2 linked regions of the Drosophila melanogaster genome follow. The protein of the gene in region 2 interacts with the protein of the main gene of each other region in a pairwise test. Each region holds a gene or a part of one and is shown on either strand. Other genes may lie near its edges.

Region 1 (4,714 bases), on a different chromosome or scaffold from region 2:
AAGCGAGCAAGTGGCATCGTAAATTGTTTTATTGATATGAGTGTAATAATCTTTTGATTATCTCCGAGTTTACTATCCGGCTTTCGTGAGATCATCATTGACCGTATCTAAATGGATTCATGAATTATCTTGAATATCTTAATTCACCTGGCCAAATCTTAAATTTATTTAAATTCAAATAAAACTCATATGCCTAAAAGCATGCTTTATTACGTAGAAAACGATTTTCAACAGCCTTAACCATAAGCAAACTCGAAAACAATACTGCTCAATAGTAAGTAAATAATATCGCATTAGTTTAAACATTTTCCACAACTTGTTATTGTTCTCACAATTGGTTTTGAAAGCACTAAAAATATTTCGTTTTGCGGCTTTTCACTTGCCACAAGGCCAAGATAACTGGTTTCTTCTCACTTTAATGGCGAATAAAACCCAGAATTTCTGTGCATATCTAAACTCTGCCATCGGCCAGAGTTAATTGCATTTGGCTGACTTTCCACAGTTCCACAACTCGTTTGGCTTCATAGAATGTCGTTCATAAAATGTCGTCTTTAAGACCCGGAAATTAATAAGTGAATTATAAGCGAACTGAAAGCTCGTATGTAGAAAATGGTACTCATATAAACTTTATTATTCTGTTTATGTTTTTAATCTTTTCCTTGCTTAAATATATAAAGAAATTGTGCCTCAAAGATATGCATTACTCAGAGCCTTATAGTTTCGATACGCATATTACCCTAATACACTGAAAAATGATGTGTAACTGCCGTCGCTATAATAATACAAATAATGCTGTCAACAAAGCGGCTAATTAAGATGCCATTGAAAAGGTGACGAAAGGCCAACAATTGAGGGGCGTTGTTAGCCATGGCCAATTGTTATTGCCAATTTGTGACGCTTTTTAAGGAAAAAGCAGCTGGCGGCGGGTGGGCGGTGGAAAGTTGTGCCCTTTGTTGGCCAACGACTTCCGCTGGCCATTCTTCGAGGTTCTATCGTTCTTGTGGACGGATTCGCGAAGAGTCAATGACAGCTCGTCTGGGTCTGGACTGGCAATGTTATGAAACGTCTAACGGACCGGCAGGCCATCGCCGAGACACAACAGGTGCTGCATAAATTGGAGGCAGGTGGCGGAGATTGCGCAATCCTTAATTAAGGCGACGCTACGCACTCGATGCCCAAAGTGAGCAGTTGCATCGCCATCCCGGTCGACGGGGCAAGTAACAAATGGCAAATGGTAGCTGGTGGAAAACGGCGACTGGAGAAATGGCAACAATTATGTCAAATCTCTTCAGCTCGGCCATTTCCCACACGCAAACGCAATCAACTCATGCGAAACGATGGCCACGTAACCGGGTTGAAGTTGCAGTCAAGAAAGTTTAGTTTCAGTTTCTATTCGGATTTATCTCGCGCTGCATTTGTATCTGCAGCATACAAAGTGCACGTGCGGATGCGGAGCTTAGCTCACGTAGTCGAACTTGTATCCATCGGATGCTATATTTTGATTTATCTCCCATTTGATTAACTCACCCCAAGAGCTGCTGGGCGCCACACTGCAGCAGATAGGCGCCTCCAATGAGACCCACCACGGAGGTGAGTCCCAGCAGCAGGTTCCCGCTTCCAGGTCGGTTGATTGGCAGCTCCATGAGGCAGATGTAGGGGCGCATCCAGCGCTTCAGGCACTGCGGAGTTCGCATTGAATTCAATTACGCTATCGATTTCGCGGCATTTGCATCAGAAGCACACGCACACACACACTTATCGGAAGCAGCTCTGATTTAATTCCACCTCGATTGAAAACCCTAACTATACTGAATCAATGAAATATCCGGAACAATACTACACCAAACTATTTTTTACTACTTATCAGAGCCGAACATTCTTCATTTGCGGCTATCATCTCTTTGTGGACATTTTACGTGGTTTTCGGCCAATACATACTTTGGCCTTAGCCTTATCAAAAGTTTTGTTTGTTCGATTTAAATTGCCTAGATTTCGACATGAAGTTGTATGGGTAAATATACCCTGAGCAGGGCATTTAAGTTTCGGTTATTAAGTTGAATAGAAAATTGGTAAACCAGTAATACAATTAGTTCCCAGCGAAAATATCACGTAAATAAATATTTTTAGGTACAACTCAGTGCAATTGGTCACATTTGAAGTCGTGACCATTAGTGATAAATAATTTTCAGCATAATGCAAAGAAGGATAAATGAAATTGTTGTCATAAATCACTTAAAGAACATTATTCATTTAAGTATGCAAATCTCGTAGTTTAGATGCAATCACTTGAGAGAAGTTTAGAAAAAACTTTGTCTGCAGTTCGAATCACGTACTAGCAGTTATTTATACGTTAATTTAATTGCCTAAGTGTTTTCCTTTGTGTTTATTTTTGCACATTGCGATTAGCACTAATTAAACTTGATAAATGTCTGTATGTGTTTTTTTGCAAAGCTCCTATCGACATTTTTGCTTTTTTTCATCGAGATCTTCTATAGAAGTTGGCAGTTGCATAATCTCCTTTGGTTTTGCATTTTTTTATTTACAAAAATTATAGCATCAGTTGTGTGTGTGTGTGGTTCTAAGAATGATGTATTTTAATTATCGTGCTATTCACTTCAGTTGGCATTAAAGATGTGGGTTTTATTTATAAATTTGTTTGGTTTTTTTGTAATATTTTGGGAGTGGAATCTTCCCACTGAACCGAAATGAACTTCACTGGCGAAATATCTGAATAAATAATTACCACAAATTTCGCTTGTCTTGTTATTTCTGTTTGCAGTTACGAACGACGATTATCAATCACTTTTCGGGCAATATGTTTCTCAGGTGCTTGCCACACGAACTCAGTCCGCTAATTGCCATCGCCCGCCCGCCGATCACCTTGCTCCATCTTCAAAAAGCCCAAACCGTCGACAGCGTTAACAATCCCGACTGCATGACGCACAAATTGAAACAAAACATACAACAAACTGATTAGGATCACGTGGATAAGGGCCCCCCGTGCCAACGATCTTCAAGTTAAGTTAACTTGGCGATTGGAGCAGCTGACTCCGACTGCGAGTGGAGCGGCGACAGGTTTGTTTTAGCCAAGTTGAATTCGGTTTTGTTTACTTTTTTGCACAATATATAACTGGGGTATATGGGCATTATATTGGATTTTGTTTGCCCACTTCGTTATGGCGGATCGCGTATATAGCCGACCGACCGACCGACCGACCGACCGTTGATTTGATAAGAGTTCCGCTCGCGTCCAGAGATATATAAATATATATATCTCGGTATGCGACGAAAAAGTCGCAGATAAGTGTCAAGACTATTTCGGGTGTGAGGTCACAAACGGGTGTACACTCTTTCCAATTGTGTTGAATCTACGGCCAAATGTTTCCAGGGTTTTAAATTTTTTTTTAAATTTTTTGTGGTTTTTTTTTAGGATTTGTGTGCGTTGCGGGCGAGTAACCAAATTGGAACTGGCCCTTATTGGCGCACTGGGTCAGAGCTTTGTTGGCCATGCAACTGAGGGGGTGGGGGTGGGTGGGTGTTGGCGGGTAAATCCCCATTGAGCCGCAGAAATATGGACACTTATGACCCACCCACCCCGTCCACTATTCTCTGGCATTCCACGTTGTCCAACGGACCTTATGCAAATGCAATTGCATATGCCACTTGGCAGCTGCCAGTCACATGTCCGCCGCTTGGAGGATGGTGGCAAGAGTTTGTGGCCAAAAGAAAAACCTACGAAATCGATTGGCCCTGCCATTGGGCATGCAAAGCTTACGGCAATTAATTGCCATTAATCAACTTAATTATGAAACATTCGATAAGATTGCCACTCCGCTCCTCGGGCATCGAAGCTCGTGTGGAAAACGAAATTATCATGGAATGGGCCATACATTTGGGTGCTCCACAATCTAACCAGTCGATTCCGGAATGCTCTATTCGTATTTATAATTCTATAAAACTCTATCCTGAAATATTATAAAAAAAAAACAATGAAGAGACTCCAACTTGTTTCTCTATCAATAACATAGTTATATAAGTTTATGTAGCATAATTATCCAACTATAAAGTGTATCTTTCCTCACACTGAAAACAGACAACAATATAGTTCAAAGAGGTTTTCCAATTACAATCGCCGAACTGGGTTGGTCCTCATTATCATTCTAATGGAACTTCCCCGCCACAGTTTCCCAACCAAATTGCAAACTCATTCGAAAGCTCGGTGGTCAGAGGCAGCGGGTTTCTCCATGACAATTGTCTAAAAAAGAGTTCCCAGAAGACTCCGACTGCTCACGGAAAGATTTCTGGCTGTACGAATGACATGGCTGAGTGACTGACTAACTGACTAACTGCACCCGAGATTTTGTCATTTCCATTTTGAGGCCGGCAAATTTGCATAAATTGATATCCGCCTGCAGTCTGCGAAATGCAGATGCATACACCCAGAGCAGTTTGCCGTAAGATTGTGGGCTCCATGCGCACCCAAGTCGGCTCAGGCCAATCCCCCAGCTGCCTGTGGCTTCCGTTCTGGCCACATGGCACAGTCCAACTTCCACAGCTTCAAGTTGTTGTCAATCAAATTGAAAACATCGAATTGAATGATGGAAATAAATATATATGTATATGCCCTCTGATATTAAATTGGATCGAATGAATGCTTCAGAAGATTGAAAATCTGGCACTCACCTTAATCTATCGCGCAGCTGCTGGTGGGTGA
Region 2 (6,844 bases):
AAGGAATCTCCTTCTCTGTACTTTAATCGAACCCATCCAATGCATCTGGCGGCAAGGCAAAGGAAAATTGTAATTTATTTTTTAAAAACCTACCCCCTAATTAACTTAACAAATAATGTCTATTTTAAAGTTCCCTTTAAGCAAATTGTACATTTATGCGTTTTAATTTTCGTTTAAGGGCAGCCACTTTGCTTTAACACATAATTTTAGTATACTTTATGTAAAACACACCTAATACACCAACAACACACACCCCCTCACAAACACACATCCACGTCCACATGGTATATATTTAATTAATTTTAAAGTTATTATTTTTTTACAAACACACTTCAATCCACATTGTAAACGAAAGTTCTATGCGTTAGTGAAACCCTGGAGAAAGCAACACAAATATGCACCAACACACAAAACTTAAACGCGGTGATTAAAGGAGGGCAGAGAGTTCTAAAACTTTTAATAAAAGTAAAGAATACAAGCATGAAATTAATGTTGCGTTTCTTTTTTAGTTCATCAGTCACGGGAAAATATTCCAAATGAAATTCAAAGTGTTTGAACGTTGATACGTTGAAAATCTTCATATTCGTTTCAATAACATGTATTTGCTTTTGCGTTACTTATAATAGTTATAAATTATTTATTTTTATTTAGTGACAATTTAAGAAGAAGTCTGTCAATTACATTTCACAGAACGAACCAGAGTCGATTAATATTTATATATTAAAAAGCGTACTGCCTACTACTTGTTTTTAGCCATTCACTTTTCGGTATAATTAATAATTTTACTAGCAACACAATATTAAGCTACTTCTGAAGCGGACTTATTTCTGCAGACGCCTAGTGGCCTTTCGTATCGGACGACTCTCCGGTGTGGGGGCAAACATGTTGCCGGCATTCGCCTGCTGGGCCGGACTGACGCCGCCAAAGTTGAAGCCCCCGGTTGGATTGCTTGCTGGCGGTGCAGGGGCTGGGCTCCCAAAGACATTCGGGGCTGGAGTGCCGCCAGCGCCACCAAAGCTGAATGGCTTTGCGGTATTTAAACCCTGATTGCTGGGCGGCGAGGCGATTCCGCCAGCAGATGCGCCTCCAAACGAGAAGGGAGCATTGCCGGCTGTGGTGCCGGCGGTGCTCTTAGCCGCACCAAATGAGAAGACTCCTGACGGCTTTGTTTGGTTTTGGGTAGCAGACACTGCGTTGGCAAAAAGATTGCCGCCCAAGGGCGGCTGGGGGGCAGCAGCCGGAGTGCTAGCCCCAAATGCAAAGGGCTTGCTCTGATTAGTTGAAGTTGCTGTTGGTGCAGCCGCTGCTGGAGCACCGAATCCGCCAAAGGTAGGCGCTGGAGTTGGATTGTTGCTTGAAAAGCTAAAGTTAGGCTTCACCACTCCGGTGTTGGGGCTCCCAAACATATTGGTGCTTGCTGAGTCCTCCTTCTTGGTGGTCGTGGCGAATGAGAAGCCACCAGCTGGTGATCCTGCTGCCGCCGCCTGGGTGGCGGTGTTTCCTCCAAAGTTGAAGCTTGGCTTGCTGGCGCTGGCGGGGCTGCCAAACAAATTTGTTCCTGCTGTTGGCGCCGTAGTATTTTTGGTCGCAACGGCGGAAAACGAGAATCCTCCAGATGCTGGAGATGCTGACGGTGTAGTAGGAGCCCCACCACCAAGTGTAAAAGGTTTGGTGGCTGCCACTGCCGGTGTCGAAGACTGTTGCGTTGATCCACTTCCGAACATTGGTGTTGCAGGCTTCTGAGTCGTGCTAAACCCAAAGGTGTTGTTCGTCGGTGTTGCTGTGGCAGATGTAACAGATGTTGTTCCGCTGCCAAAGGCTGGTGGTGCACTCTTGTCCGTGCCACCAAAGCTAAATACTCCACTTGGGTTGGCTACCGCACTGTTGTTACCTGCACCAAATGCAAATGCAATTGGTTTGTTGTCCTTATTTTCACTTTTATCTGCGGCGCCCGCTGCTGCTCCTCCGAATGCAAAGGGCGTAGTTGTGGTTGCATTTAGTCCAAAAAGGTTTTTTTGGCTAGCTGGAGCTGGTTCCGCTGCCTTTGAAGTGGCCGTCCCTCCAAATGAAAAGAGATTTGTGGCAGTTGATCCTCCGCCAGCAGCGGTTGTTGTAGCTGCGAAGCCAAATGGCTTGGGAAGCTCGGCGGCGGTTGTGGCTGCTACATTAGTTGATGACTTCATTGCGTTTCCAAGTCCGTTGTCCAAATTGCCAAAAATGCTCGGCTTAGTTGTCTCGGATTTGTTAGCCCCGGGCGATGCAAAACCTTCGCCTAGGGGTTTCGATAGGCTTCCGAATACCGGTGTCGGTGCAGCTGCAGCGGGCTGAGTGGTGCTACCTCCAAAACTGAATACAGCAGGCTTGGCGGCAGCTGCATCGCTGCCATTTGTTGTCGGAGTTCCTGAACTTAAATTGTTCGATTTACCAAAGGAGAACATCGGTTTCACCCCCGTGTCTGCTGCTCCAAATGATGGCATCGGCTGGCCGAAATTTAGCGATACAGTTGTAGTCGGAGCAACTGTAGTCGTCGTTTTGGGTGGTGTCACTCCGAAAGTAGTTGTTGATGTAACCTGTGTCCCAGGATTAGTTGTGCTAACCGAAGTTGTTGCTGGAGCTTCAGTTTTGAATCCAGAAAGGCCGCCTACTGTGGGACCATTGGCAGGCGTTTGTCCGAACGAGAATATGGGCTTTGATGTGGTAGTATTGGTGATATTAGCAATAGTGCTACTAGTGGTATTGGTCGCACTTCCAAACGAGAATGATGGTGCTGCTGTGGATTTTGGTGTGCCAAAACTGATTAGTGGTTGAGATGATGTTGCTGGAGTAACGGGTTTGGTTGATAGCTCAAACTTGGGTGGGATATCTGCTTGTGCTGCCGGGACCTTGTCGATGGGTTTTGGTGGTGTTTGTTCCGTTTTAGCGGGCGGCGCAGGCTGACCAAGCACAAGTTTGGGCACTGAGCCAGTGCTATTCGTATTTGGCACATCTGCTGGCTTTATAACCTGGTTACTTAGTATTATCGGCTTGCTGGGCGCAGAAGTTGATATGGTTGCGGTGGACGTAACGGTCGTAGTGGATGTGGTTACAGGAGCTATGATGATGGGTTTGACGGGAGTAGGAAGCGTCACAGGCGCTGGCGCTGACTTCGGCGCTGGGGCATCTAGTTCGTCCGGCTCACCCAGGTACAGTTCGCCCTTCAATCCACTTAGCATAATGGCTAGTTTGGTCTTGTGTGTGCGTTCTACGCTAGGGTTCTTGGCAGCCAGCATGGAATTCTGCTGTTTAGGCTTCACGAACTGAATGCCTGCATATTCGCCGGCATCTACTTCCGGGCTACTCAAATCGGGTCGCGGCTGTTCCGCTATCGTTTGAGATTGTCGCGCATTGAAGAGTGTAAGCTTAGGTTTTTCCGTCACCTGCGGAACTGCCTTTTGAATGGCAGGAGCCGAAATGGCTCGTGAAGCAGGAACTGCCGCCACAGTCACGACGGGCATGCTCATTGCCTTGCTAACAGCTTCTGCATCAACTTTACGTTGAATTTTGGCAACATTTTCGGGCGAGTTCTCAGGCGAGCTTCCTCCACTAGCTAGTGTGTCGTTTTTGCTGTGCTGAAACCTTTCTCGCATGTCCAACAGCTTCCTCTTGTTGCTGTGACGGCAACTGGAACTCAGCGAGGAAGTGATGTCGTTGCTGTAGCTACAATTGGGACGTTTGGCTACCTGCTCCGGAGATTGTGTTGGGGAGATGGTTCCATTCGAGTTCATATGTTGCAATGCAGGAGAAGCAGCCGACAAAGATGTCGAATGATGCCTGAGCGGAACCGATACCGTCAGCTCTCGTTGCCTTTTAAAGGACTGATTCTGTTGTTGCTGCAAATTACGTAGTTTCTGTTGCTGACGGTGATGAGCCACAAAGTCCACAAAGTCCACGTTTTGCTGGCAACTCCTTTTCGTGTAGTCTTGAGCCTGTTGCGTATCCTGAAAGCAAGCCAAGTGTAAGCCGGTGATCTTCTCATAGGATGATTGATGGCTTATACTTACTTCAGTGTTGATGCGCTTTCGGGAGATCTCCTTAAGCTCCTCCAACACGCTTCTAGTTGGCTCGCTCTCATGCTGTGGATGAGGTGGGTGCAATATGGGTCGATTCTCTCTCGAAAGCTGCTCCTGTTCGGTGGTCTTTGGCACTAACCCTACCAAGGAGTTGGATCGCAACAGGCTTGACAGCGTGTTTCCGGAATAAAAGCTGCGCTCCGGTGGTGCAATCTGCGTGATCGAAAGCGTCGGCGCCCTTGACTTGTAGGGCAACGGGGAAGCGGGCGCTCTGCGCGGCTGCGTCAAGGGATTGTAAAGATTGCTGGCGGACATGCTGCGTTGCAGACCACTGCGTTCGCTTAAGGCCACGATCCGGGATGACAGTCCGCTGCTATGCACATCGGCAAAGGTTCTGAAAGGTATGAAAATTTGATATTGCACTTTCGTCACATCGTGAAATGGCACACAAGCTTTGACTTACCTGGGATCAACCTGACTGAGGTTCAGTTTCTGTCGCGTTATGGTACTGGACGATGTGGCAGAGCGATTCATCAAGGACCGCTCCGGAGTGCGTGTGCCATTGAGCGAGGTATTCGACCCCTTGGGACTCAGTCCCCTCAGGAAATTACTGGCCGCCGGACGATTGTTTCTGAACAAAGGAGAGCAAATTTGATTAGTAACCGCTTAGAATCCAGTTGGACAGGTGGTGTCTTACAACAGCGACGCGTCAATCCGCGTGGAATCCGCCATGGGTGACATGCTGCTCATGTTAAAGCGACGACGCTCCATGCTGCCGAAGGTCAACAACCGGTATTCTCACAGTGCAGTCGGGCGGAGGGGAACACTTTTGGCGGGTGAATCAAGCTTCGTCGTAAACGATTGTGTGCAATCTCGTTTCTTTCTTTTTTTAGTTTTATTAATTCTAAAGAGAAATGCAATGTGAATTTCATAGGAAATGGTTACTGTGTGACCGTTGGTGAAGCGCCAAAATATACCAAAATCTTTAAGCCTTTGGCTAAATAAACGATTAAAGATAAAAAATAATGTTTAATACTTTCTCCGTCAAATGTATTTGGAAGTTTCGGGCAGACGTGTAAACTTGAATAAAAATTCTTATTTTCACTCCAAATTTATATTGAAATATGTCAGGATTGCCACCTTGGATACTTATTGGCAGGGCTGCACTGCAGCATGTGTCGATTATTAAATCGGGTTAATAAAATTTTATCGCAATTTAAATGTTTGCACTCCAATTAAATGAAAACATTGCTTTATTTCTTATATCTAATACTTGTTTTTTAATTTAAATACTATATCAGCTTATAATTGTAGTACCTCCGCACCAATGGTTTTCGCTTTTGCAGTGTGAAATTTAGATCGCAGATGGGCCTTTAAGTGAGTGTTGCGCTGGAAGGATTGTTTGCAGATGGTGCAGCTGCAAAGGGAATTGTATTAAATTTTGGAATACCAACGCCTAGTCAAAAAATACTCACGCAAAGGCTCGCACTCCTGTATGGATTAGTTCGTGCCGCTTGCGTCCCGAAGCTGACTTAAAACATTTATCGCAATGATGACAGCTGTAGGGTTTGGCATTGGTGTGAGTCCTAGAAAGGATTTTTTTTGGTTTGAGCTCAGAAATGTCCGAATCCGTAGTGGATACAAGGATACGTCCCTTACCTTTCGTGGATGAGGCGAGTGTTGCTATTGTGAAAGGACTTGGTGCAAAAGCGGCAGTCGTATGGCTTCTCGCCCTGGTGAATGATTCGTTGGTGCAGCGTCATGAGATGGTCGGTGTAGAACCGCTTGCCACACTGCTGGCAGGCGAAGTTCTTATTGCCCGTGTGCCGCAGCATGTGAAGCTTGAAATTGCTTTGGTCGGTGAATTGCCGGCCGCACTGTTCGCAAACACACTCGCGTTTACGCTGCAGTCGCTTACGCTCTATGATCTGCTCCTCGGTCATATTTTTCCACGTAACGTACTGTTTTTTCCGCTTGGGTTTTGTGGTCGCTGGCTTCGTTGACCGACCTGCTGCACTCTTCGATTCGGGCAGCGGTGTGTTTGGGTTCGATGATACTTCATATTCGTTTATAGTTTCATTGAAATAGGAACCGTTTTGGGGCTCCATGTAATCGTTGTTATCCGAGTTGCTGTCGTCGTTGCAAATGCTCTCAAGTTCTTTCTGTACACTTGAGATCAGAGATTCGACATCTTGAGAATCCTCTTCGGCTACTTCAGCCATATCTTGAAGCGCATCAACATCTTCAACAGAATCAATATAATTATCCTCATCCAGATCATGATGAGCATCACTATCATGATCCAAAACTTCTTCTGGGGATTCCACAATGTATTCATCGACTTCCCCGAATGGATCGTTCAGACAATCCGGCGGTGATGCCATCTCCTCAACATCTTCAGCCGGTTCCTTCGCTTCGGGAGATCTACGACGATGGACGAGCTGCTTCTGCGTTAGGATGCACCGCTCCCGGAACAAAATCGCTTGGTTCAAGTCAAGCGTGCAGCAGGCGCATATGCTGCTGGGCAGCTCTGGATCGTTGTGGAGCTGCAATCACAGAAAATGCTGCACAAATCAAATGGAAACCATTTTTCTTACATACTGTTGTGCCAGTGACAAGATTTATGTCTTGCAGCATCTTCTCGTTCTCAATATGAAAGAGATTCTTGGGCATTTTATTGTAGATGATGCTGCCGCAGGTCCGGCACTGGAGCGCCATAATGTTAGTTGAAAATCAACCGAAGTTTAGCCCAACTTCAGTTTAATTCGAATATAAACAACCAATTGTTTTGTAAA

What was found.
Region 1: the proteins of CG14712 (region 2) and M7BP interact in a two-hybrid assay, tested with the Drosophila melanogaster proteins (one large-scale study listed by BioGRID).

What each region holds. Positions count from the first base shown.
Region 1 is NT_033778.4:7,627,142-7,631,855, reverse strand, and holds the start of M7BP (Myosin-7a binding protein), read right to left. Parts: upstream 3,056-4,714; 5' UTR 2,744-3,055; intron 1,680-2,743; 5' UTR 1,665-1,679; coding exon 1,528-1,664; intron 362-1,527; exon of another isoform or gene 1-361.
Region 2 is NT_033777.3:11,626,917-11,633,760, reverse strand, and holds CG14712 (uncharacterized protein), read right to left. Parts: upstream 5,003-6,844; 5' UTR 4,821-5,002; coding exon 4,747-4,820; intron 4,681-4,746; coding exon 4,513-4,680; intron 4,444-4,512; coding exon 4,041-4,443; intron 3,978-4,040; coding exon 822-3,977; 3' UTR 555-821; downstream 1-554. Other genes in the region: CG18764 (uncharacterized protein), read right to left, coding at 5,352-5,466, 5,525-5,635, 5,709-6,595, 6,651-6,767.